Linked DNA regions of Saccharomyces cerevisiae S288C. Changing the gene in region 3 together with the main gene of any one other region gives a genetic interaction. Each region holds a gene or a part of one and is shown on either strand. Other genes may lie near its edges. The genes, in order: ETR1, SSM4, UBC6 and MSH4.

Region 1 (4,476 bases), on a different chromosome or scaffold from region 3:
GCACCCTTAGTCAAACCAGCAATATCGTAAACGGTCAAATGAGCTGGAACTTCCGAAGCTGTCTTCTTGTAGATTTCACACAACTTATCAAATCTTGGAGATGGGACAATAACACGGGCTTCTTCTGGATCAATGGTAGCGAATGGATAGTTAGCTGGGTTACCCAATGGACATCTAGTGATGGCTTGGAAAAAGGTAGACTTACCAACATTGGCCAAACCGACAATACCGGCTTTCAAGTTATTACCTGGACGACCCAATAAGACCTTTTTTTCTTCGACTTGCTTCTTTGGAGGCATGTTTTACAGTGCTATTTATTTGATTGTTTTTACGGATACTAGAAGTAACACAAAAAGCTAAAAAAGGCAAAATGCAATAAAAAATTAGTACTAATTATCAACTGAATACACTACTAAATACGATTTCTCGCAACGAAAGGTATGAGAGAGAAGACGTAAGTTGACTTTCACTGCATCCTTCCTTTTGGGTCATAAAATCGCTGGGATGGCCCTTGAAAAAATTTTTTCAGTGAAAAAAAAAAGAATTTTCGAGAAAAAAAAAAAATTAGGAATTGTGCGTGGTCATTCAATACGGAGAATTAAGTAACACGCAACAACTGCATTCTGCCTTAGTTGTCTCAAGGCAAATTGGCACCAACAATATGAACTTGTTGTAAAGCTCAACTCCAAAGAAGGGAAACTACTCAGATTTGTTTTCTTCAGTTTAACAGGCGTATCTTCTGCAAATCTACTACGTTTCCTACCGAAGACTTCGCTCTACGAGAATTCTTAGGTTTCTACGAGTTACGCGCCCTTCTTCGAACGCCATTCTCAGGAAAAATTGCATTTACGTAATCTTTTGTTCTAATTGATATAATGGCTATTTATACGTAATATCATGCTTAAGAACCAAGAAAGCCAATAATGGCATTCGGAGGAAGCAATCAGTGAGGAAAATTGTTGATTAAGCTAGATATTTCTATATCTAGTAGATCTTGTCAAGTTGAAGTAGCGAATAGGACTCCTGTATTGCTATTGTGATGTTTTTTTATTGTACAGTAGTTGTATAACTTATCGTTGGTATTAACTACCGTTTGTTTATACATCATGCTCATTATCTCGTCCTGACTAATGTGAAAGGATCGATATATACATTGAAGGGTCGACGTCCCCTTTTATTAGCTCCTACAAAGATAGCACTGGCATATATTTTTTAATGTCTTGGTATATATTATATAGCAACTATACTCGATGTCATAAAGAGGAATACTATCTTTGGTGGTTGTCTAACTCTGAGCAATGCTAAGGCCCTTACCATTCTAAAACAACCATTTTTTTCTTCCCCTTCCCAGTTATACCTTTTTTGACTAGTTCTAGTAACTGTTCGTCAGTAGTAGTGTTAGTATTCCAGGTAAGAGTTTCAATTTCATCTCTTGGTGAAATAATGTGACCATAATTATACATTTTGATAAAATCACTGATGGTGTCAATCTTGCTTTGGGGGTTTTTTTTGTTCTTTTCAGTCACCCAGTACCCTTTGGATGTCAAGCCTTTGAAAATGTGTAGAGATGTTGGTAAAGTTACAGGTTGTTTTGACATTCCTCCATAAGTGAGCATCAAAGCATTATTTTCCAACTTACGTGCTATTGATGCACTGGATTTACCTCCAACAGAATTCAAGGCAAGCCTCACCCTTGCATTTTCACCCAAAATCTTGGACAATACTTCTTTGGCAAAAGTCTTGTCGTTGTTTTGCGATTCGGAAATAACCTTCGTAGCACCATACTTATCCTCCAAAACTTTTGCTACCTCATCAAAATTATCACGGTCACGTATAACACTTAATGTTTTGATCCCTTTAGCTTTTGCTACTTGCGTAACTATTTTTGATACACTAGATGTACCGGCATTTTGGATAATCCATTCATTACCGTTACTGTTCCAGTCGATATAGTCTGATACTAATTGGAAACCGGTACAACCATTAACAGATACAGTTGCCGCAGAAAACAGATCCAAATCATTTACCTTGATTAAATCAGAACTACTAGAGAAAACTCTATAATTGGACCAAGTCCCTTGATTTGCCTGCAATGGGATAACTCGGTCACCCAATTTCAAATCTCCCTTGGAACTTCCCGAAGGTAAAGAAACAACTTCAAAGACACCCTCATTACCGGCGATAGCGGCTGGCTCATCTGTGGAGTAATCGTATGTCTTTTCTGGACGAGACGGGTATACTCCTTGCAACTGATTGATATCCGAAGGGTTTATGGGAAAGGCCAAAGTTTTTAACACAATTGATTGAGATAAGTCTTGTTTAGGCGTATAATTTTTCACTGACAAAACCTTGGTACAATCCTCAACTTCATGAGTTGAATAGATGAGCGATTTGAAGTGCTTGGGAATCTGATGAGCTGAGGACGACATGTAACGTTTGAATGTGGGAAGCATCTTGTTATATCAAATGTAATTGGCAGATTATGAACCTTCTTAAATGACAATGTACGTTTGTAATCTCCAATTTCTTTAGCCATGGAAACAACCCCTGGGTACACCACTCGTGCGTCCCTTGGAGGAGAACCACTCTTTTAAGGTAAAAAAAAAAGCACCGGCGGGGTCCAATAATGATAATAATACCATAAATAAGGAAGATGGTATCACCGATTGGTCCAGAAGTATTATCCATACAGTTGTTTTTAATATTATTACATACATTATATATTAAAAATGTGTTTCGTAACCCTAAAGCAAAACAAAGTATATACAGTGACACAGATCCTTTAAACATCAAAAAAACAAAAAAAAGTAAGTCAGTGCAGATCCGAGCCTTCTCTCTTAATCTATCTAACTTTTAATTCAAAAGTACTTCTCCAAATAGCTACCACTTGCTTTATAACTAAATCCCTTGAACATATCCGGGGACTTGCTCACCGAATTGATATTAATCGGCTTGCTATCCGTATAGGTTTCCTCATATGACATAGAAGTAAATTCTGTGTCAAAATTTTCCGCTAGTTCCAAATCCGTAATAACTGGAACAATTGGGCCTAGAGTGGTTTTTTGCAATTGTCCAGATTCTAATAACTTCCAGTCTATTTTTCTAAAGATAAAATGTTCAGTGAAAAGACTAGTTCTTGCAGCCCCTGATTTCTTCTTCTTAGACTTAGTAGGCTTATTATTAGCCCCGGTTTTGGCCCAGTATTTGTCAACATTCCACCTTTTGGCAGTTTCCTTCTTCAACAGCGCGTTTAATATATCTTTCATTCCCTCGCTCAGATAAAATGGAATTTTGGGGCCTTGCTTGTTTTGTTGAATCTTATTAATGATCACCTTATGATTGCTACCAGTATATGGAGGCTTACCTACTAACATGTCATACAACAGACATCCCAAAGAATACCAATCACAATTCTGACTGTAAGCTTTACCTAATAATATTTCAGGCGCACAGTATTCAGGCGTACCGATAATCGAGTATAGGGCATTGACGTTCTCTGGATCCTCCTCATCAACCGCGGAATCATTAGCACTTTTTTTACTCAGACCAAAATCTGTCAATACTAAATGTCCACGTTGATTCAATAAACAGTTTTCAGGTTTTAAATCTCTATAGACAACACCTTTCGTATGCAAAAATCTCAAGGCACAGCTGATTTCTGCCGCGTAAAACGAAACTGTCGTCTCATCTAGGGTCCCGTGTTCCTTCAAGTGGTAAAATAGTTCACCGCCAGGGATATATTGTAGCAGTAAATATAACTTTGAGTTATCGTGAAAAGAATAAAATAACTTGACAATGTTTGGATGTTCTATTTCAGATAGAATAGACCGTTCGGCAAATGTTCTCTCAAGCCTCTTTGATAATCCATCGTCATTATCGTTGTTATTACCATCATTTTTATCTTCGTCTTCTCTCTTGGAATCTGTGGCTGTTTGAGAAATTAAAATTTCTGCTTTCCGTAATTGCTTCATAGCATACAGCTTGGATGTATTGACGTCCTTAACAAGAAGAACTTTACCGTAGGCACCTTGGCCTAGGACTCTCACGGGCTTAAAATCGTGCAGGTTCCTTGATAATTCATTTTCTCCAATATTAGAGGAAATAATGTCCTGAGGTGTTATGGATAGTCTATTCGTATTAGTTCGCATTGCGTCCGAACCTGTAATAGAAAATCTTCTCGTATTTGGTGGAGTGAGAATAGGGAATTTGGAATAAGCTGAGGACCTTCTTCTCATCCTATGTGCAGGACTCATGCCATTTAGCGGAATCGCATTTGAATGAACCGAGAGGTGATTTATACTCTCCTCATATGTGATGGAGCTGCCTTGTTCATGATTGATATCATTGTATATTGCCGAGGAATAATCTACTTTAATGTCATTCTTTTTATCATCTAGTGACACACGATGAAGTTCTTCATCTAGTGAGAAAATCATCCTAATTACTGCCAACAGTATGCTCAGCTAGATTGGTTGA
Region 2 (7,471 bases), on a different chromosome or scaffold from region 3:
AGTTGGTTGATATTGATGATGTGGCATTTAGTAGTCCAACTAGGGGTATTCCAAGAACCAGCGCGACAAGCAAGGGATCAAATGCACAACTTCTCTCTAATTATGGAGATGAAAATAACCAGTCTCAAGATTCTGTTTGGGATGAGGGCAGAGATAATCCTATACTCTTGGAAGATGAAGACCCTTGAAAGCACTCGCACGCATAGTTTTATATTTTTTATTCTTTTCCTCTTTATTTTTATTTTTTTAACATTCTCGCATAATAATAGTAACAGCAATAAAATAACTAGTAATATACATACTCACATAAATAGGCATATTTTTTATTTTGTTCTTTCGTATTCAGAATGGTAAATTTTTCTAATGAAATGTTTTACAAAAATTTTTTTTCTATAATTCTAACAATAAGAAATAAAACAGTGGAAAAACATATAACTTAATGTAGATATATATATGTAAATATGCTAGCATTCATTTTAAATGTAAGGAAGAAAACGCCTTTAACTTTCATCTGGTAAATTTTCTAAAGCTCTACCCTTAGTGTAAACCTCGTCTTTTACATTCTGTACAGTACTTTTGAACCATTGAATGAACAGCACAGTTGCTTGGAAAAAGAACGTAAATGACTCTAATGCTATCAGTAGTCCGAAATAAATATCTTGCATCCTTGTCCATGTTGGGAATGATTCGTTAAGCGATAAAGTGAAACTCCTGGATCCATGGCTAATATCGATAATCTGCTTTGTAGAAACATCACGTAAAAATACTAAGGATAAAATAATAATCGGCAAGACGTAAATTACCATGTGCAGGAAACCTTGTTTAAACAGTTCCAAAGCCATTGTTTTCAAGAAGTTCAATTTACTAGTATTTCTGTTTCTGAAAAATAGTTTCAATGACTTATATCCGGTTCCGAAATTGACCATTGACGAAATGATCCAAACGACGAATAACAAACTCTCGTCATATTTAAACCATTTGGAATTACCAATAGTGTATGAAGAATTGCCAAACACTCTGATGGTGAGATAATTGTAACAGGCTAGTATACCATCGGTTAAGACGACCCACGAAACCATAGTTCTAATAACCGCAATCATGATAGCTATAAACACCATCAGGTTATACTTCACCAACATACTATCAAATATACTGTTAAAGATGGCCATGAAAATTCCTTGACCCTCTTCCACATTATTGATATTATTAACAGGGGCATTGTTGATATCTCTCTCTGGTATATCGTGTTCCACTTCCTCTACTTCGTTTTCGTCAACGGCATGTTCATCGAGAGTGTTTTGGCCTTCTGTAAAATGAAGAATATCCTTAGCAATCTTGGATAAACAAACAGATCCGACACAGACATAATAAATGTTCAAATAGGAGTAGCTAATGTCAGAGAGTTCCTTCCATGCAACATAGACCTTATTTCTTTCACCTAACAATAGCTTTACGACTGGAAGAAAGCCGAAACTACAAACAAAGTTTATTAAAGCTTGACTAATAAATGTAACACCAAGCATTAAAATGGAAGCAAATAACCAAACCAGGCCAAGCAATGTCATATAGCGTAAACGGAAATCTGGAGGGACGTAAACGATATAATATTGATCATATTCCGTGTTTTGTTCGTCTAAATAACCAAATTCACCAGCAGCACGTTTGTTTCTCTCTTTAATTCTTTCCAAATCTAATGGTTTCAACAGCTTATCATCCTTTGTAACGGGGACAAACATTGTTTGTACATAATTTCTGGATACTATATCAGAAGAAGGAACACGCATTAAAACGCCATCGGGGACAAAATAAGCATGAACGTCACGAACTTGCCCAAACAATTCTTCTGCTTGTTCTAGAGTCTTTGGTTTAGTGAAAAGTTCTTGGTTTGACCATTCTGCATTCTTGGCAGCAATGTACTTGTAAAACAAATTGCGGTAAACAATATGGCCTCTCTCTGTTGGGGTATCTTTACCTAAGATAAAGGATGATAAACGTAATTTTCTTGAACATAACTTAAAAATTGTTTTCCAATACCTTTCCAATAAGGGTTTAACGTAAGAGCTAGACTCCAGGATCCTCTTCGTAAAATATAAAGTTAGCAAAATTGTATTGAACTTCCATGAAATAATTGATGTTGGTTTATAAGCTTCAGGAACGGATAATAAGTTCGATTTGAGCATGAATGGGAAAAAAATTCTAGTATGGAAGCCAAAACCTAAGACAATAAAAATCGCATAAATAAACATGGATAAGCAAAGCCTTGATAATTGAATACTCATCGGATGAATTAAACTATCATGCAAGATCTTAATATTAGGATCTTCTGGAGATCTGATAAAGAATAGAACACCTGGTCTAATGATATTTTTCCTAATCATTCCGATATATTTGGCAAACCAATACATGTAGAGAGTACCAATCGTCCAGTATACGAAAAGGGAAAATGGAGGCCATATTGCGCATATTGAAGGAACCCAAAGCATCCGACTATTGGATGCCAGGATTGGGCAAAATAATGAGAAATCTAGCATTACACCAGCTAGAATGGGGAATCCAGCCAATTCGATGAAAAATAAAGTGAACACCTTGAAAGTGCATTTGAGTGCAAATAAAATCTGGAAAATCAGCCTTCTAGTAGGGTTGCTCATTCCGTTCTCACGGCCATAACCCCTCGAGACAAGATTGGATGAAGCACAAACGATACTGACTGAGGTTAGATACGTCGTTAAAGCAGGTAAAGCTCTGATGAAAATTGAGTGCTTCATGGTGTTTTCAGTGTAGCCGTTGTAAAGATAAATGATGTCATGAATTAAGTGGTCTGAAATCCAACTCATCGCGACATCTACTTTAGGGACCAGTTTCGTCAGCCCATTGTAAGCTATATGAGCGCCAGACAAGTAGTAAAGATGGCACAACCCACGCAAAATAACCTTAAATATACCAAAATAAATTTTCAACAAACCGAACCCAATAAAAGTTGGAAACAAATAGGAAATTGCCAGGTATATTGCGGTGAAAACTACGGCAATTATGAAATAAGCAATGACATTCAACAATTTCAATTTGAGATTTATCACTAGAGGGCCTTGTCCTTGATCGTCTGGGTTAGCCTGTGCTGGTGGCACACCAACAGCTGCGCCAAAGTCTTGTTCGTCTTGATCGACATTTCCAGCTCTGTTTTGGGCAGGTGGTGGGATGAAAACCGGAGCGTTGGGCCTGTTTATTGCGTTCTGTTGAGCAGCGATTAGGTCATCAAATTCATTTTGCGCACGACGATTTGCCCACATGTCAATCGGATTGGGCTCTATATGATCACGGTAATCTGCCTCTTCTTCTGGTTGCTGCTGTTGCTGTTGCCCCTCTGCTTCTTCATCTTCTTCGTTGTCACTTGAAGACCCCGGTAAAATTCGTGACGAATCATCACCTGATGGTAAACTATTGTCAGAGTCGTTGTTCTCGTGCTCTTCCGTAGCCTCATCATGATCTAATTCGTCTACGTGGCGAAGGTTTTCAAAATTCCGATGGTCATTAGGATCCTGAGGTGGAACGTTATCGTTTCTGGGATTAATAACATTATTATTATTATCTGCTGCTGCGGCTGGCATGTTCAGTCTATCATGACCTTGCTCTTGACGATTTTCGTCATGAGCTCTCATTTCCCTCGCTAAATATTCAACCATTCTATCATCCATCATGGGGAATCTTTCCTTCAAACGTGATTTCAAGTCCTTGGGAGATAATCTTGGACCTATCTTGTGGAAAACCATTTTACTGAAAACATCCTCTCTTACTATCATATCGTATTGAAAGTACAATGCTATATGTAGTATCACTATCATAATAAATTGTAAAGACGTAAACGAATGGTTTTGTAAAAGTTGGTAAAAAATTGCTCTCGTGGTTAATTCTGGAGTTGCTGACTGATCATAACCATAAATCAAACTCTTTAGGAAATCACCAGGATAAGGGGATGATCCATCTAGCATCATGGTGTATAATTTTCCAAACATGTTCCATACCAAAGGAACACCGATAATATATAGTACAGCGGCCAAACCAATCGTTAAAGCCAAACGAGCTTTTTCGAAAAATGTCAAGATGCTCTTGGATAGTAGTAAAGAAAAAGGTATCTTTTCGGGCATGTTTTCCGCATATATCGTTTTGAATTGAATGGGATAGTGACAGATGTCACATTTAACATCCGCGCCTGGTTTTGAAATGTCTATATTTTTTGAAGCTACCCATTCCAACAGACAGGATTCATGCATGTATTTAATTGAGCCCCTGCATTTACAAGGATGGAAAAGAGGATTGTCCTCAGTAGCTTCTCCACGACAAATACGGCAGGTGGCGCCGGATGGCGCATCATCATTGAAAGTGGCGGTATCTGTTTCCTCGTTTGCCACCTTATGCAGTTCATCTCTTAACCTGGAGACATTAACGTCAGAATCAACATCCATGACTTTCACACTTCTAGTCTCTTTGATTCAATTAGTGGTACTCTTGGCTAAAAAAACAGTTTTTGAAATCAGTAACAAAGAACTATTCTTAACGTAATCTTATGGCTTCATAGATCGGTCATAATCATCTTTTCAATGTCCTCAATCGATGCGTTTTCAACCAGTTTTCCGTCTCTAATGATTTAATTTTTCTATTGAATTGAAAATGGTAAAAAGATAGCCCTGTAGGGGGCTCGAACCCCTAACCTTATGATTAAGAGTCATACGCGCTACCGATTGCGCCAACAAGGCTATTTCGTTGGAAAAACTACTTATTTTAGGAAGTAATAGCACATTTAAGATGCTTGTTGGAATGAAACTTTAAAATATCATCTGTTTAGTACTATTCATGTTACTAATTAAGATATGGGTGAATTTTGAGATAATTGTTGGGGGTTCCATTGTTGATAAAGGCTTATAATATTATGTATACGGAATATACTAGAAGTTCTCCTCGAGGATCTAGGAATCCTCATAATGGAATCTATATTTCTATATACTAATATTACGATTATTCCTCATTCCGTTTTATATGTTTCATTCTCCTATTACATTATCAATTTTTGTATTTCAGCTTCCTCTAACCTCGATGACAGCTTCTCATAATTTACGCCATCCTCTTACACCGCATGTGATGCTATTACTACTAAATAGATAACATTAGAATTTCATTCCAACAGCTTTAGTCTGTTTTAATAAACGCAACAGCACCATAATGTTATTAATTTTAATAAAGCCAAATTATGGCCTGCTGATTTCTTTTCATTGGTAAAAGTTCTATCACCCGTTCCCCATTAGTATGATAACCGATAAATAAACTCTATTACCTGGTTTCTTCGTTCCAGGAACGTTTATACCCTGACTACACATTTCTTTTGAAAAATAGGCCAATTGAACAATTAAGTTAGAAGCGGTTAGAAAAAGGTATAATAGGAAAAAATGCATCCAATTTTTACAGTTGAACCACTTGGGGGATTTTATTCTCGTATTGTAGCGGGAGCATTTTATCTTCGTACATCTTGGAAGCTGTAGATTAATCTTATTCCTATATGCTCCTTCAATCCACACAGCAAACCCCCAAATGGAAACGATCACTGAGTATGTTATAAACCAGCTTACGCTTATACTATTATCAAAATTCAAAAGATTGAACGGGGAAAATGGTAGAAATGAATATTGAAGCATTTTCGCAATGAAAATTAACCGCATTGTTTTTATAGTAATTCTGATGGCTAACGGCGGTAATACAGCATCCTTACGAAGAGCGGGAATAGTTCATTTGCCCTCTTTGATGGTTTGCATAACTGCGTTGTTGATTGTCTTAGGAATGGAAATATTTAACAAATATACCTATAATGAAAAAAGGGTCCTTCTTTTTAATTATTATTGGCAGCGAAAAAGTTGTCCCAGCTTCTACTTTTTTTCCCGTTAAAAAAGGAAGCGGCGGAAGCTGATCTACTCTCTAATAATAGACTACTCACTCGCATCTTGGTAACGAGTCCCTTTAAGATCTTGGTACATAAAGTTTGCTGCAGCAAAAAGGGCTTATTTGCGCATTCATGATATTAAACAACACCCTGTTTAGCGTGTTAATGATCCTTGTTTTATGCCAGTATATTCTGTATACCTTATAATAGAGTCAACAGTTAAATCCTAATCATTACCTCAGGACTTACCTATTTCTGAATATCATGGTCCACCATTCTACCTCAGTGAATTGATTGAACCGCACCATTGGAATTGTCATGGTGAGCCAGCGTGCTACAACTTCATGATTTTACGAGCTGAAAAAACACGCCCTTAGGCATAAAAACTCAATGGAAATCTGTAAAACAAAATAAATTTCGCTTTTTAACTTGGCCTAATGGGAATACTTTAACAATTGAACCTGTCACTAAATCAGAGGAAGTACATGCCTAATTACTCAAAGCTGTATTTAACTAATTTACCTATACTATCGCCAGGCATTCAAGGATGAAGACATGCGTCAATGCAAATAGTGACGGCTGCTGCATTAAAGAGGTGCTGCGTGGTGTAGAAAAGGCAATAACATGGACGATGCAAGGTTATTCAGACGCGTTGTTTGTATGCCATTTCCAATGATAATGTTGGTTGCGTTATATAGAAATGTGTTAGGAAGAGATTCTACAGTTGATTGCAGCTTTGACGTTATACTTACACCTTGGATAATGGCCAGTATGTTTTCCAAACGTATGGTGAATTGGTCTAATCCACGTCAAGCTGTTTTAAAAGTATGCAGCGCAGCCGTGACCTCCCGGATAGTTGCCAATTGGTTGTTTACGATGAACATATTATATACCAGTGGTGAAAAGGGTTTTTACTCGCTAGCAACAGCTGTGGTAATTAAAACGGTCACTGATGGGTTTACGGTGATACGGGTTTTCTCTATTCACCTGAACGAGTCAGTATATAGCAAGCCATTACCATAACATTGGGTAACGTCGCACGCAACACAGCTGCGGGTGTGTGTGGTGATTGGTTAGTCAATTGGTCATTTGGGCTGGTAATAGGGCATGTTCCCCTTACAGCTTGTACTGTCTCATTGGGGTTTGCTCTTATTGCTGGAATAATAAATGGAAAGGTTAACGACGACACAAATGGTTTTCGACGACCAAAACAAATTAGCAAATGGCAACCTTTTGTATTAGGGCTAATTAATGTAAGCGATGTTACCATTTTGTCTATTTCTGGCGGTGGACTGGTAGCTTCTTCATGTGGAGGTGCAATAGGCTATGCTACTGTCATTAAAACTGTTGCTACCACAAATGCACGTTTCGCGATTACTGAGGTGATCAAGGAAATAGTTATTCGTTATTCATCACAATTAAATGCAGAAAAAGTTTGTGAAGAATAAAAAACTCGAGCCGGGTGGTAAATTGTTTTAGTACGGTTAGCATCGGTTTAGTACCTGTACCAATATGTGTCACTTTTGTTATTTCTGCAGGCGATAA
Region 3 (4,488 bases):
CACTTAATCTGTTAGCTCAACTAAAGGAGAAGGATCAATTGAATACAGAATCTAATGTTTTAATAAACGGTGGTACAAGCTCTGTAGGGATGTTTGCTATCCAGTTATTGAAGCGTTACTATAAAGTTTCTAAAAAGCTAGTAGTGGTAACGTCAGGTAATGGTGCAGCAGTCCTGTCAGAACATTTCCCGGATTTGAAAGATGAAATCATTTTCATAAATTATCTGTCATGTAGGGGAAAATCTAGTAAACCACTCAGACGTATGTTGGATACCGGTAAAGTTGTAGATTATGATGATTTTAATACTCTCAAAGAAACCGAAGATTATACTCAGGGTAAATTTAATGTCGTGTTGGACTTCATCGGTGGTTATGATATCTTGAGTCACTCGAGTTCTTTAATTCACGCTAAAGGTGCTTATATTACAACAGTTGGTGATTATGTTGGAAATTATAAGAAAGACGTCTTTGATTCTTGGGATAACCCTAGCGCCAATGCAAGAAAAATGTTTGGATCAATGTTATGGTCATACGATTATTCTCATTTTTACTTTGACCCCAATATCAAGATTATCCCCAAGAAGAATGATTGGATACATGAATGCGGCAAGCTGCTAAATGAGGGAGTCGTAGATTGCGTTGTTGATAAGGTTTATTCCTGGAAAAATTTCAAGGAAGCATTTTCCTATATGGCTACACAACGTGCTCAAGGTAAGCTTATAATGAAAGTTGAAGGTTTTTGAAATGGGAGTTTCTGTCTCCCTAGGTTTCACCTCATTTTTATTGAGGTTTCTTGGTCAATACATACTCAAAAATATAATTAATAATTCACAATGTTCATAATAAAAAGATCCGTTTTGTCTATATAATACTATTGATTTCTATTCTGTGTTGTCAAAATTTATCTAAAGTTTAGTTCATTTAATGGCTTCATTTCATAAAAAGGCCAACCAAAAACAAAAAAATAGCGATACCAATATAAACCATTGAAGAACTATCATTAGGTTCTTTGCCATCTTTCTTGGAATTATTTTCTGATTGTCTCAACGCTTGTTCAGCGCGTATTCTGTCTTCAGGGTCTAGAATTTCCTCCAACGAGATGACTTTTTCCTTCGCAGCCTTTGTAAAAGGGTCTTCTGTTTCATCACCTGTATTTGCCGCATCCCCCTCATCCAATTTTCTCTTTTCTAATGTCTCTACATTTTCCTGTACAACTTCCGGAAAAATCAATTTGAATCTAACATTTTGAAAAGTGTTATAACTTATGGAATTTCTTGCTAATGTCTTCTTCTGATGGTCTGATGTTGTAATTGATCCTGTCGTGGCTTCATCACTGGTCATGAAACTTAGTAACCCGTTCAAAATGGTTGAGACAGACCAGCCAGGATTCCAAGTATCAGGGTGGTAATCACTCATAGAAAGGCATAATCGTGTGTTGGGCTTGAAACGTCCATTCGGTGTTATCATTCTGATAGCCGGTGGTTTGTATGGATAATCAGACGGGAAAGTTAAAGTACCGTGATATTGACCGCCCTTGTAAGGAGTATCCGCAGGTCCTGTGATAATATAGTGCCACTCTAAAATATTATCTTCGTTGGGGCGAGCAAGAATATATGGTGGAGGGTTTTCCACCATCAACTTGTACTCTTTCGTCAATCTCTTGTGAGCCTGCTTTGTAGCCATTACTATTGTACGTACTTTGTTTGCAATTTGCGAATGCGGTTTTAGTTAATATTTAAAGTCTTTTCTGCGATATGCGATGGTAGTCTTCTTTATCACGGCTCCTAAAGTGTGATAATCGGAAAGTTCCTTTCTGTTCTCTGCAATCGATTTCGGCTTTTTCTGAACACAAATAACCAAAATTTCCTTATTTTATTGGGGAGGCTATCCTAATTGTAAAGTGCAATATTGCTGTGGAAGGATATCGACTCAAGCGACCAGTGGAATAGGATGGCGAGTTGGCTAGTTTAGCTCTCTCCGACATTGTTGCTATTGAACAGATACGGTATGCCCGTGTATTTATCCTCCTACCAAATCGCGCAGCAAAATGGTTAAGCACGTGACTATTTTTCAACAATGAAAAAATTTTGAACAATAGATGATATGAGGAGGCATCGAGGGATTGCTAAGAAGAGGATATTCCTCATCATCCAAAGACTATCTTGTCGTAAGTTTCGTTGAATATGTCTACAAACAGTATTAAGTTGTTAGCTGGTAACTCACATCCTGGGCTTGCTGAGCTTATTTCCCAAAGGCTTGGTGTACCGTTATCTAAAGTGGGGGTATATCAGTATTCAAATAAAGAGACGTCTGTTACAATAGGGGAAAGCATTCGTGATGAAGACGTATATATCATCCAAACTGGTTACGGGGAACATGAAATCAACGATTTCTTAATGGAATTACTTATCTTAATTCACGCTTGTAAGACGGCATCAGTCAGAAGAATTACGGCAGTAATACCAAATTTCCCTTATGCTAGACAAGATAAGAAGGATAAATCGCGGGCGCCCATCACTGCGAAGCTGATTGCCAATCTTTTGGAAACTGCGGGTTGTGATCATGTTATTACTATGGATCTCCATGCTTCACAAATTCAAGGGTTTTTTCATATCCCGGTTGATAATTTATACGGTGAACCAAGTGTGTTGAATTACATAAGGACCAAAACAGATTTCAATAATGCGATACTGGTATCGCCTGATGCTGGTGGTGCGAAAAGGGTGGCTTCTTTAGCGGACAAGCTGGATATGAATTTTGCCTTGATTCATAAGGAGAGGCAAAAAGCTAATGAAGTTTCGCGAATGCTGCTTGTCGGTGATGTTGCTGGTAAGTCATGCTTGTTGATTGACGATATGGCTGACACGTGTGGTACGCTGGTGAAAGCCTGTGACACATTAATGGATCACGGTGCTAAGGAGGTTATCGCTATTGTCACACATGGTATATTTTCTGGCTCAGCTAGGGAGAAGTTAATAAATAGTAGGTTATCAAGAATTGTTTGCACCAACACGGTACCTGTTGATTTGGATTTGGACATTGTCGATCAGGTGGATATCAGCCCTACGATTGCAGAAGCTATCAGAAGATTGCATAATGGAGAATCAGTCTCATATTTATTTACACATGCGCCTGTTTAAAGAAGAGGTATAAACGAATATATTTGTATAAATGTACTAACAGATATTTTGAAAAAAAATGCGTATATCTATTCAGTATTAGCGCTTATGCTGCCACCAATATTCTTCATCTGGTCTCTATGAGATTTTCATTAAAGCTTAATCTTTTCTGATTTACCGCCCTTGCTTTTGGAAAATATGTGAAATTTTATTGTGCTCTAAAAAAAAAAAGTTATTACAGTAGGTGAAGTGAAATACAACTAAATTCGAAAGATCAGGAACAATAGAAAGAAACGTGGAAATTATTTAAAAAAGGAAGAAAAAATGGTACACTAATATTGATACTTTTAGAACAGATGGGTCTCAACTATATGATGTATCGAAACAATCCCGATTTATTTGATGAAGCTCAATATTCTCGATTTTCTTTTTTGCTTATTGCGTTTTTTATCATTTAATGGCGTCTTGGTTTCTGCAGTCTTAACTTCAGGTATATTCCCCAAGGTCTTTTTGCGTTCAATATTTGCAGCTGCCCTCAATTTACGATCCCTTAACCAATCATCGCATTTTATTAACTGTTCAATGTTATTGTCAGTCTGCATTTGATCTTGACTAGAAGTGTCTATATTTTCATTTTGATTTTCGGTCTTATCAGCCTGTGTTTCTTTATAGAATAAAACGTAGGCTGTAGTTTGATCACCTGGATGACCTGTGAATTGTAACACAGTTTCTTCTTTTATGGATTCCACCGTTTCGTCATCATACAAAAGCCACCCAAACTTTTCGTTCCTGCAAATGCATACGTAATGACCATGCTGTGGACCGCTCCCCATATGGATGACGACGCCGCTTAGTTCATATTTTTTATATACTGATGTATTAAAAGTGGAAGAAACATCCAAAGTTAGTGGATAGAGTATTTTGTTAAAAAGTTTGATGTTTGACTTTTGCTCCTCTGAATACTTGAATCTTTTTAGGTGCAATGACAGAATATGGGGCAGTTGCTTCAGTCCGACCATACGTTCTGCTTCTTGTAAACCATAACATTTGTTACAATAAAATTTGTTAACCCCGTTCAACATCTCACGCTGATGATAGCTTTTTAACATCTTCTGGATATCAGTCTCTTCATCACCCTGTACTTCTATTGGAAAGTCTAAAAATGGTTCGTCCCTTGAGGTGATATTGTCACAAGTTAAACATTTGATCCTATTCGTCAGTGTACCTTTGAATAAATCCGTTATAAAGTTGTCGTTGCTGTTGTCTGTCTTTTGTGGTCCGAATCTCATTCTGGGATTATTGCGTTGAATATATTCACTGAAATCATTTAATAAAAAGTTTAAAAATTCATGGGCATCTTGTTGCATCA
Region 4 (6,028 bases), on a different chromosome or scaffold from region 3:
GTCAAAGAAATTCCAAAGTTTTCTATCTTTGTGCAAGGTGTGGCATCATTGTATGGAGATGATGAAAAATTAGATATCTTACCATTTTGGTTACCAGATTTGGAAACAGATATTAGACAGGATCCTAAGCAAGCATATGAGGAGGAAAAGAAAAAACTGTTGAAACAAAAAGAGATACAAAAGAAAATTGATGGAATGAGAAGGCTTTCCAACTTAAAAGAGCCTCAACATCAAGCAGCAGTACCGGTATCTCAAGAGGAAAATGAGCGTATTACCTCTCAAGGTGATTTGGAGGCAGACGGTTCATCCGATGAGGAAACTGAGCAAGAACCTCATTCGAAAAGATCAAAGAAAGTTCGGAGAAGAAAACCCAAGGCCACTTTCTTGAGAATTTTGGCCGGTAGAGATCCAAAGTTAATGGGGGTGGATTCTGAAGAAGAAGAAATTGAATTGCCACCTGGTGTGAAAAAACCATTAAATTTGTTAAAAAATGCTGGTCCTGTAAACGTGGAGGCAAAGGTTTGGCTTGCCAACGAACGTACATTTAACAGATGGTTAAGTGTCACCAGTTTATTGAGTGTTTTGACGTTCTCAATTTATAATTCTGTGAAGAAAGCCGAATACCCCACTTTGGCTAACTACATGGCATACGTATATTTTGGTCTAACGATATTCTGTGCTTTATGGTCCTATTCCATTTATATGAAAAGAGTTGATATTATTCAACAAAGAAGCGGTCAACATCTAGATGCACCACTTGGTCCAGTTTTGGTTTCTATAGTTTTATTTGTCACTTTAGTGGTTAATTTTGTTATGGCGTTTAGAAATGCAGCAAAGTCTCGTCAAGAGTTGCAAATACAGAATTTAGAAGTTCCTGAAAGAATACCAGAAGTATTAAGGCCACTTCAAAATTATCTATTCAAGTTAATGGGGCCAAGCAGTGATTAGAATATGTACTCTATCTACTGAGACCATGTGTTTTTATGTTTGTAATGTGTAGCAAAAAATTATCATCTGCTAACAATTGCTTACTTTTAGAAATCACATTTAAGGGGAAGTTTTAAATCATTCATAAATATCAATGCATTTACATAAACATCATTTTCTCCGGTTTTTGATAACTCTGTACAGAAATAATGGATTATAGTTTTAAGCTAAGCGGAAAAGCCAAATTATTCTTCAAAATTTTCGATGAAGTCGGAGTTTATTTCTTTTAATTTCCCTAAAGTCAAGGGCTCTTTTTCATTTCCTGCACATTCTTTCAATATCGCTACAAGATTGTGTATTCTCTTCATTTGGTTTATGGTCTTTTGATCAACAACGCCATTTGAATCTTCGTTTTCAGTCCTTGCTTTTGCAATTTTCAAAAGCGAATGGATATTGTACGCTTCTGCAATAATATCCGGGTTGAATATTTTTTTTACCACCCTTATTCCACTATTCTCTATTGCGACAGATTTCTGGGTCAACTGATAATTCATTTTGACAGAATTGTCATTGAGAAGGACTGCATCCATATGAAGATGGGAAACTGCTGGCTTCTTAGACATTATTTTAGGAATGTCCTGGAAGTGTGTAGAAAGAAATACCGTTGCCTCCGTTCGAAGTAAATGTTCAGTTACTGCCAAAGACACACAAAACCCATCAGCGATGCTTGAACCACGACCAAGTTCATCTAAAATTAACAGTGTTTCTGTATTTATGTCATCTAAAAAGTAAGCCATTTCTTTCATTTCAAAACCAAAATTTGATGAGGTTAATTCCATACTGTCATTGCAGACTCTTGCATGTAGACGTTTAAAGACAGGAAAAGACCCATAAAGTGCCGGTATACCTGATCCCATTTGGGCCATTATGCAAATAAGGGCAACTTGTTTTAAATAAACAGATTTTCCACTCATGTTGCATCCGGTTATGATTTGTAAGCTGGAGCTATGTTTTGTACTTGATATGGTGTTAGGGACAAAATTTTTTAGTACCTTTTCAAGTAGTGGGTGTCTTGAATCTCGAATTAGTAGATTGTTTGTAAAAATCGGTATTGTGTAATTATTTTCTTTCAAATTATATGTGAATGAACAAACCAAATCCAGGATAGCCACTGCTTCTGCAATCATAAATAGTTCAGAAATATGGGTTGCAATTTTATCGAGCAGTTCATCAACTGTCTCTTCACTTAAAAGTAAAATCTCTTCCATAACTTCCTTCAACCTCGCATTTTTTTTTATTATATTTAGGGTTGTACATTCAATATAATTTTTTTTTATTGTTCTTGAAATGAATACGTCTGGAAGTGTAGCGACGTCATCGGTAAATTCCTGTCTTTTTATTCTGAGATAAAAGCCTCGTGCAGAATCGTAATTATGATCTAAATTGATTTTGTTTTTAGCGGTAAGATCTTCTACCTCACGAAAAAATTCCTCTTTTACCTCTTTGTAGATTTGTCTAGAAACATCCAAAAGCCCATTGGAATCACTTTTCACAGCATATGAACGTTGGTTAAGTAGTTGTATAGCTGAGGATGCCCAGACACAGTCTTCATTTATACAACTATTAATTAATTTTTCAATTTCCATAATTGCGTCATTATTGAATATTTTTTTGGTCTCGCTAATTAAACGGCTTTGAATTAACTGATCATTAAGTGCGTCTTTCAATGACTTCACGCTTTGTAAAGTTTCCTTTAGCAACAAAACGTAATTAATTCTTTGGTCAGGTTTTATTGCAGAATGATTAATGCATAATAACCTTGAAAATAACTTATCTAGATCAGGCAATGATTTCATTTCTAGCCTTAATTTTTGTAGAAGGTCATCATTGGCTTTCAATTCTTCTAGGGCCTCTAGTCTCATTTCGATACTGCCCCTATCAGTTAATGGCTGCAGTATACTGTTCCGAAGTGATCTTTGTCCCATTTTAGTGGACGTGGTATCCAAGAACTTCCATAGTGATATGCCATTCTTATCCAATTTATTTTCTACAAGTTCTAAACCTCTGACGGTTTTAGAATCAATCAGCATTGTATTTTCTGTTCCTTCAAACTGTATACGTAGTTTTCGAAACGCATTCAAATTTCGGCTGCTTTTGGATATAATCTCTTCCATGTAGCTTATCGCAGCAGATGCAGCACAAAGAGCAAACGTTTTATCTATAATCTCCTCGATTTTCAAGTCCTTTTTTGTATCATCCATTAAATACTTTGTAATCGCCGCCAGTCCATCTTGGCTATTGAAGCACTTTCGTGAACCCTCTTCAATTTTAACTGTCTCGGCCACATTAAATTTTATCATTGTCGCTAATTTTGATACTGTTGGAGCTAGAGAACTGCTTGGAATCAGTATTTCCGTAGGTTGGTAAATTTGGAGTTTATGAACTACACGAATGTAAATTTGTGAATCCATGAAATCTGAAAGATACATCTGTCCCGTGTTACAGTTGATAATACATAACCCAATCCGCGTACTTATGTCTCTTGGCACTTCGTATATGCAACAAAGAACACAGTCAATACTAGGACCGAGGAGTGAAGCGTTGGTGCTGTATCGACTTAAGGAGGTTGCGGTCCTAGAGGCCATTGATCCAGTCATTAAGTAATGGCTATGTGTTGAATCTTTTTCATTGTTTTCCCATGTTGTCTCTGCTATTTGTAGCGTTTTCTTTTTGAGAGCCCAACTACTTATGTTAGTTGGCGATTTTTGGTTCCTGATACTCTTTTTCGTACTTGGCTTCGAAATAGAGTTTGAAGAATTAGCCGCCGACCTTAAATTGAAATAATTTGTACTGATAAAACTAGATAGATTAGATTCACTCATTGCATATAGTTTGCGTTGATCAGCTACAGATTTCAATGCTATAACTAGTTATTTTTATATGTTTCACTTTAAGTAAAATCCAACTGCTCTTTTGCTATTCTTCGTTGATGCCTTATATGTATGAAAGCTGTACGTTCGGGATTTGAAAAGGAAATGAAGACGCGAATTAAAAAAAAATAATAAACTGGTTCATAGCAGAAAAGAGGAGACTAAATAAGATTTTGCTCTCATACAGATGCAACACATAAAAACTTTAATCGATTTCAGTATGGAAAAAGATATGATACAATAAAATCTAAATCTTAGAAACTGATTTTGAATAAAAAAACGACCCCAGTGAGGGTTGAACTCACGATCTTGCGATTAACAGTCGCACGCCTTAACCAACTTGGCCATGGAGTCAGTCACTTTTGAGTTCTGCAACTCTTAAAACGGAATAGACTACGTAAAACAATGTCATCCCATACCAAAACAATCCTGATTTCTCAAAGGCATCGCAAACCTCTGGAATAAAAATCCACTATCATCTATCAACTAATAGTTATTCAATATATTATCATATACAGTGTTAGATGATGACATAAGTTATGAGAAGCTGTCATCGAAGTTAGAAGAAGCTGAAATGCAAGGATTGATAATGTAATAGGATAATGAAACATATAAAACGGAATAGTCTAACATTAGTATGTAGAAATATGGATTCCATTTTGAGAATTCCTAAATCCTCGAGGAGAACTTCTAGCATATTCTGTATATGTTGGAATAAAAATCAACTATCATCTACTAACTAGTATTTACGTTACTAGTATATTATCATATACGGTGTTAGAAGATGACGCAAATGATGAGAAATAGTCATCTAAATTAGTGGAAGCTGAAACGCAAGGATTGATAATGTAATAGGATCAATGAATATTAACATATAAAATGATGATAATAATATTTATAGAATTGTGTAGAATTGCAGATTCCCTTTTATGGATTCCTAAATCCTCGAGGAGAACTTCTAGTATATCTACATACCTAATATTATTGCCTTATCAAAAATGGAATCCCAACAATTACATCAAAATCCACATTCTCTACATGGTAGCGCCTATGCTTCGGTTACTTCTAAGGAAGTCCCATCAAATCAAGATCCGTTAGCCGTTTCAGCTTCCAATTTACCGGAATTTGATAGAGATTCCACTAAGGTTAATTCTCAACAAGAGACAACACCTGGGACATCAGCTGTTCCAGAGAACCATCATCATGTCTCTCCTCAACCTGCTTCAGTACCACCTCCACAGAATGGACAGTACCAACAGCACGGCATGATGACCCCAAACAAAGCTATGGCCTCTAACTGGGCACATTACCAACAACCGTCTATGATGACGTGTTCACATTATCAAACGTCACCTGCGTATTATCAACCGGACCCACACTATCCGTTGCCACAGTATATCCCACCACTGAGTACTTCCTCACCTGATCCAATCGATTCACAGAATCAACACTCTGAAGTACCTCAAGCTGAGACAAAGGTGAGAAATAACGTCTTACCACCACACACTTTAACATCAGAAGAAAACTTTTCTACATGGGTTAAATTTTACATCAGATTTTTGAAGAACTCTAATCTCGGTGACATCATTCCAAATGACCAGGGTGAAATCAAAAGTCAAATGACTTATGAAGAACATGCGTATATATACAATACCTTCCAAGCATTTGCCCCATTTCATTTATTGCCAACATGGGTAAAACAAATTTTAGAAATTAATTATGCTGACATCCTTACAGTCCTTTGTAAAAGTGTGTCCAAAATGCAAACTAACAATCAAGAATTAAAGGATTGGATAGCTCTTGCCAACCTTGAGTACGACGGAAGTACATCTGCTGATACATTTGAAATTACAGTCAGTACGATCATTCAGAGGCTAAAAGAAAACAATATCAATGTTAGCGACAGATTGGCCTGTCAACTAATACTTAAAGGTCTATCCGGTGACTTCAAATACCTACGTAATCAATATCGTACCAAAACGAACATGAAACTTTCCCAATTATTCGCTGAAATTCAGTTAATATATGACGAAAATAAAATCATGAATCTAAATAAACCGTCCCAATACAAACAACACAGCGAATACAAAAATGTTTCTCGCACATCTCCAAACACGACTAACACAAAGGTTACAACTCGTAATTATCATAGAACAAATAGTTCAAAACCA

What was found.
Region 1: mutations in UBC6 (region 3) and ETR1 together harm fitness more than expected from each alone (negative genetic interaction), as found in Saccharomyces cerevisiae (2 studies listed by BioGRID).
Region 2: of UBC6 (region 3) and SSM4, a mutation in one rescues a mutant of the other (synthetic rescue), as found in Saccharomyces cerevisiae (one study listed by BioGRID).
Region 4: mutations in UBC6 (region 3) and MSH4 together harm fitness more than expected from each alone (negative genetic interaction), as found in Saccharomyces cerevisiae (2 studies listed by BioGRID).

What each region holds. Positions count from the first base shown.
Region 1 is NC_001134.8:291,567-296,042, forward strand, and holds ETR1 (enoyl-[acyl-carrier-protein] reductase), read right to left. Parts: upstream 2,454-4,476; coding exon 1,311-2,453; downstream 1-1,310. Other genes in the region: OLA1 (Obg-like ATPase), read right to left, coding at 1-299; YBR027C (uncharacterized protein), read right to left, coding at 2,458-2,790; putative protein kinase YPK3, read right to left, coding at 2,859-4,436. UniProt on the Saccharomyces cerevisiae protein: Catalyzes the NADPH-dependent reduction of trans-2-enoyl thioesters in mitochondrial fatty acid synthesis (fatty acid synthesis type II).
Region 2 is NC_001141.2:295,550-303,020, forward strand, and holds SSM4 (E3 ubiquitin-protein ligase SSM4), read right to left. Parts: upstream 4,461-7,471; coding exon 501-4,460; downstream 1-500. Other genes in the region: SUMO protease ULP2, read left to right, coding at 1-188; EMA17 (Ema17p), read right to left, coding at 5,280-5,708. UniProt on the Saccharomyces cerevisiae protein: E3 ubiquitin-protein ligase which accepts ubiquitin specifically from endoplasmic reticulum-associated UBC6 and UBC7 E2 ligases, and transfers it to substrates promoting their degradation.
Region 3 is NC_001137.3:356,757-361,244, reverse strand, and holds UBC6 (E2 ubiquitin-conjugating protein UBC6), read right to left. Parts: upstream 1,684-4,488; coding exon 931-1,683; downstream 1-930. Other genes in the region: AST2 (Ast2p), read left to right, coding at 1-743; ribose phosphate diphosphokinase subunit PRS2, read left to right, coding at 2,184-3,140; putative ubiquitin-specific protease UBP9, read right to left, coding at 3,515-4,488. UniProt on the Saccharomyces cerevisiae protein: Catalyzes the covalent attachment of ubiquitin to other proteins. Functions in degradation of misfolded or regulated proteins localized in the endoplasmic reticulum (ER) lumen or membrane via the ubiquitin-proteasome system.
Region 4 is NC_001138.5:133,349-139,376, forward strand, and holds MSH4 (MutS family protein MSH4), read right to left. Parts: upstream 3,810-6,028; coding exon 1,173-3,809; downstream 1-1,172. Other genes in the region: VTC2 (vacuolar transporter chaperone), read left to right, coding at 1-948; YFL002W-B (gag protein), read left to right, coding at 4,856-6,028. UniProt on the Saccharomyces cerevisiae protein: Involved in meiotic recombination. Facilitate crossovers between homologs during meiosis.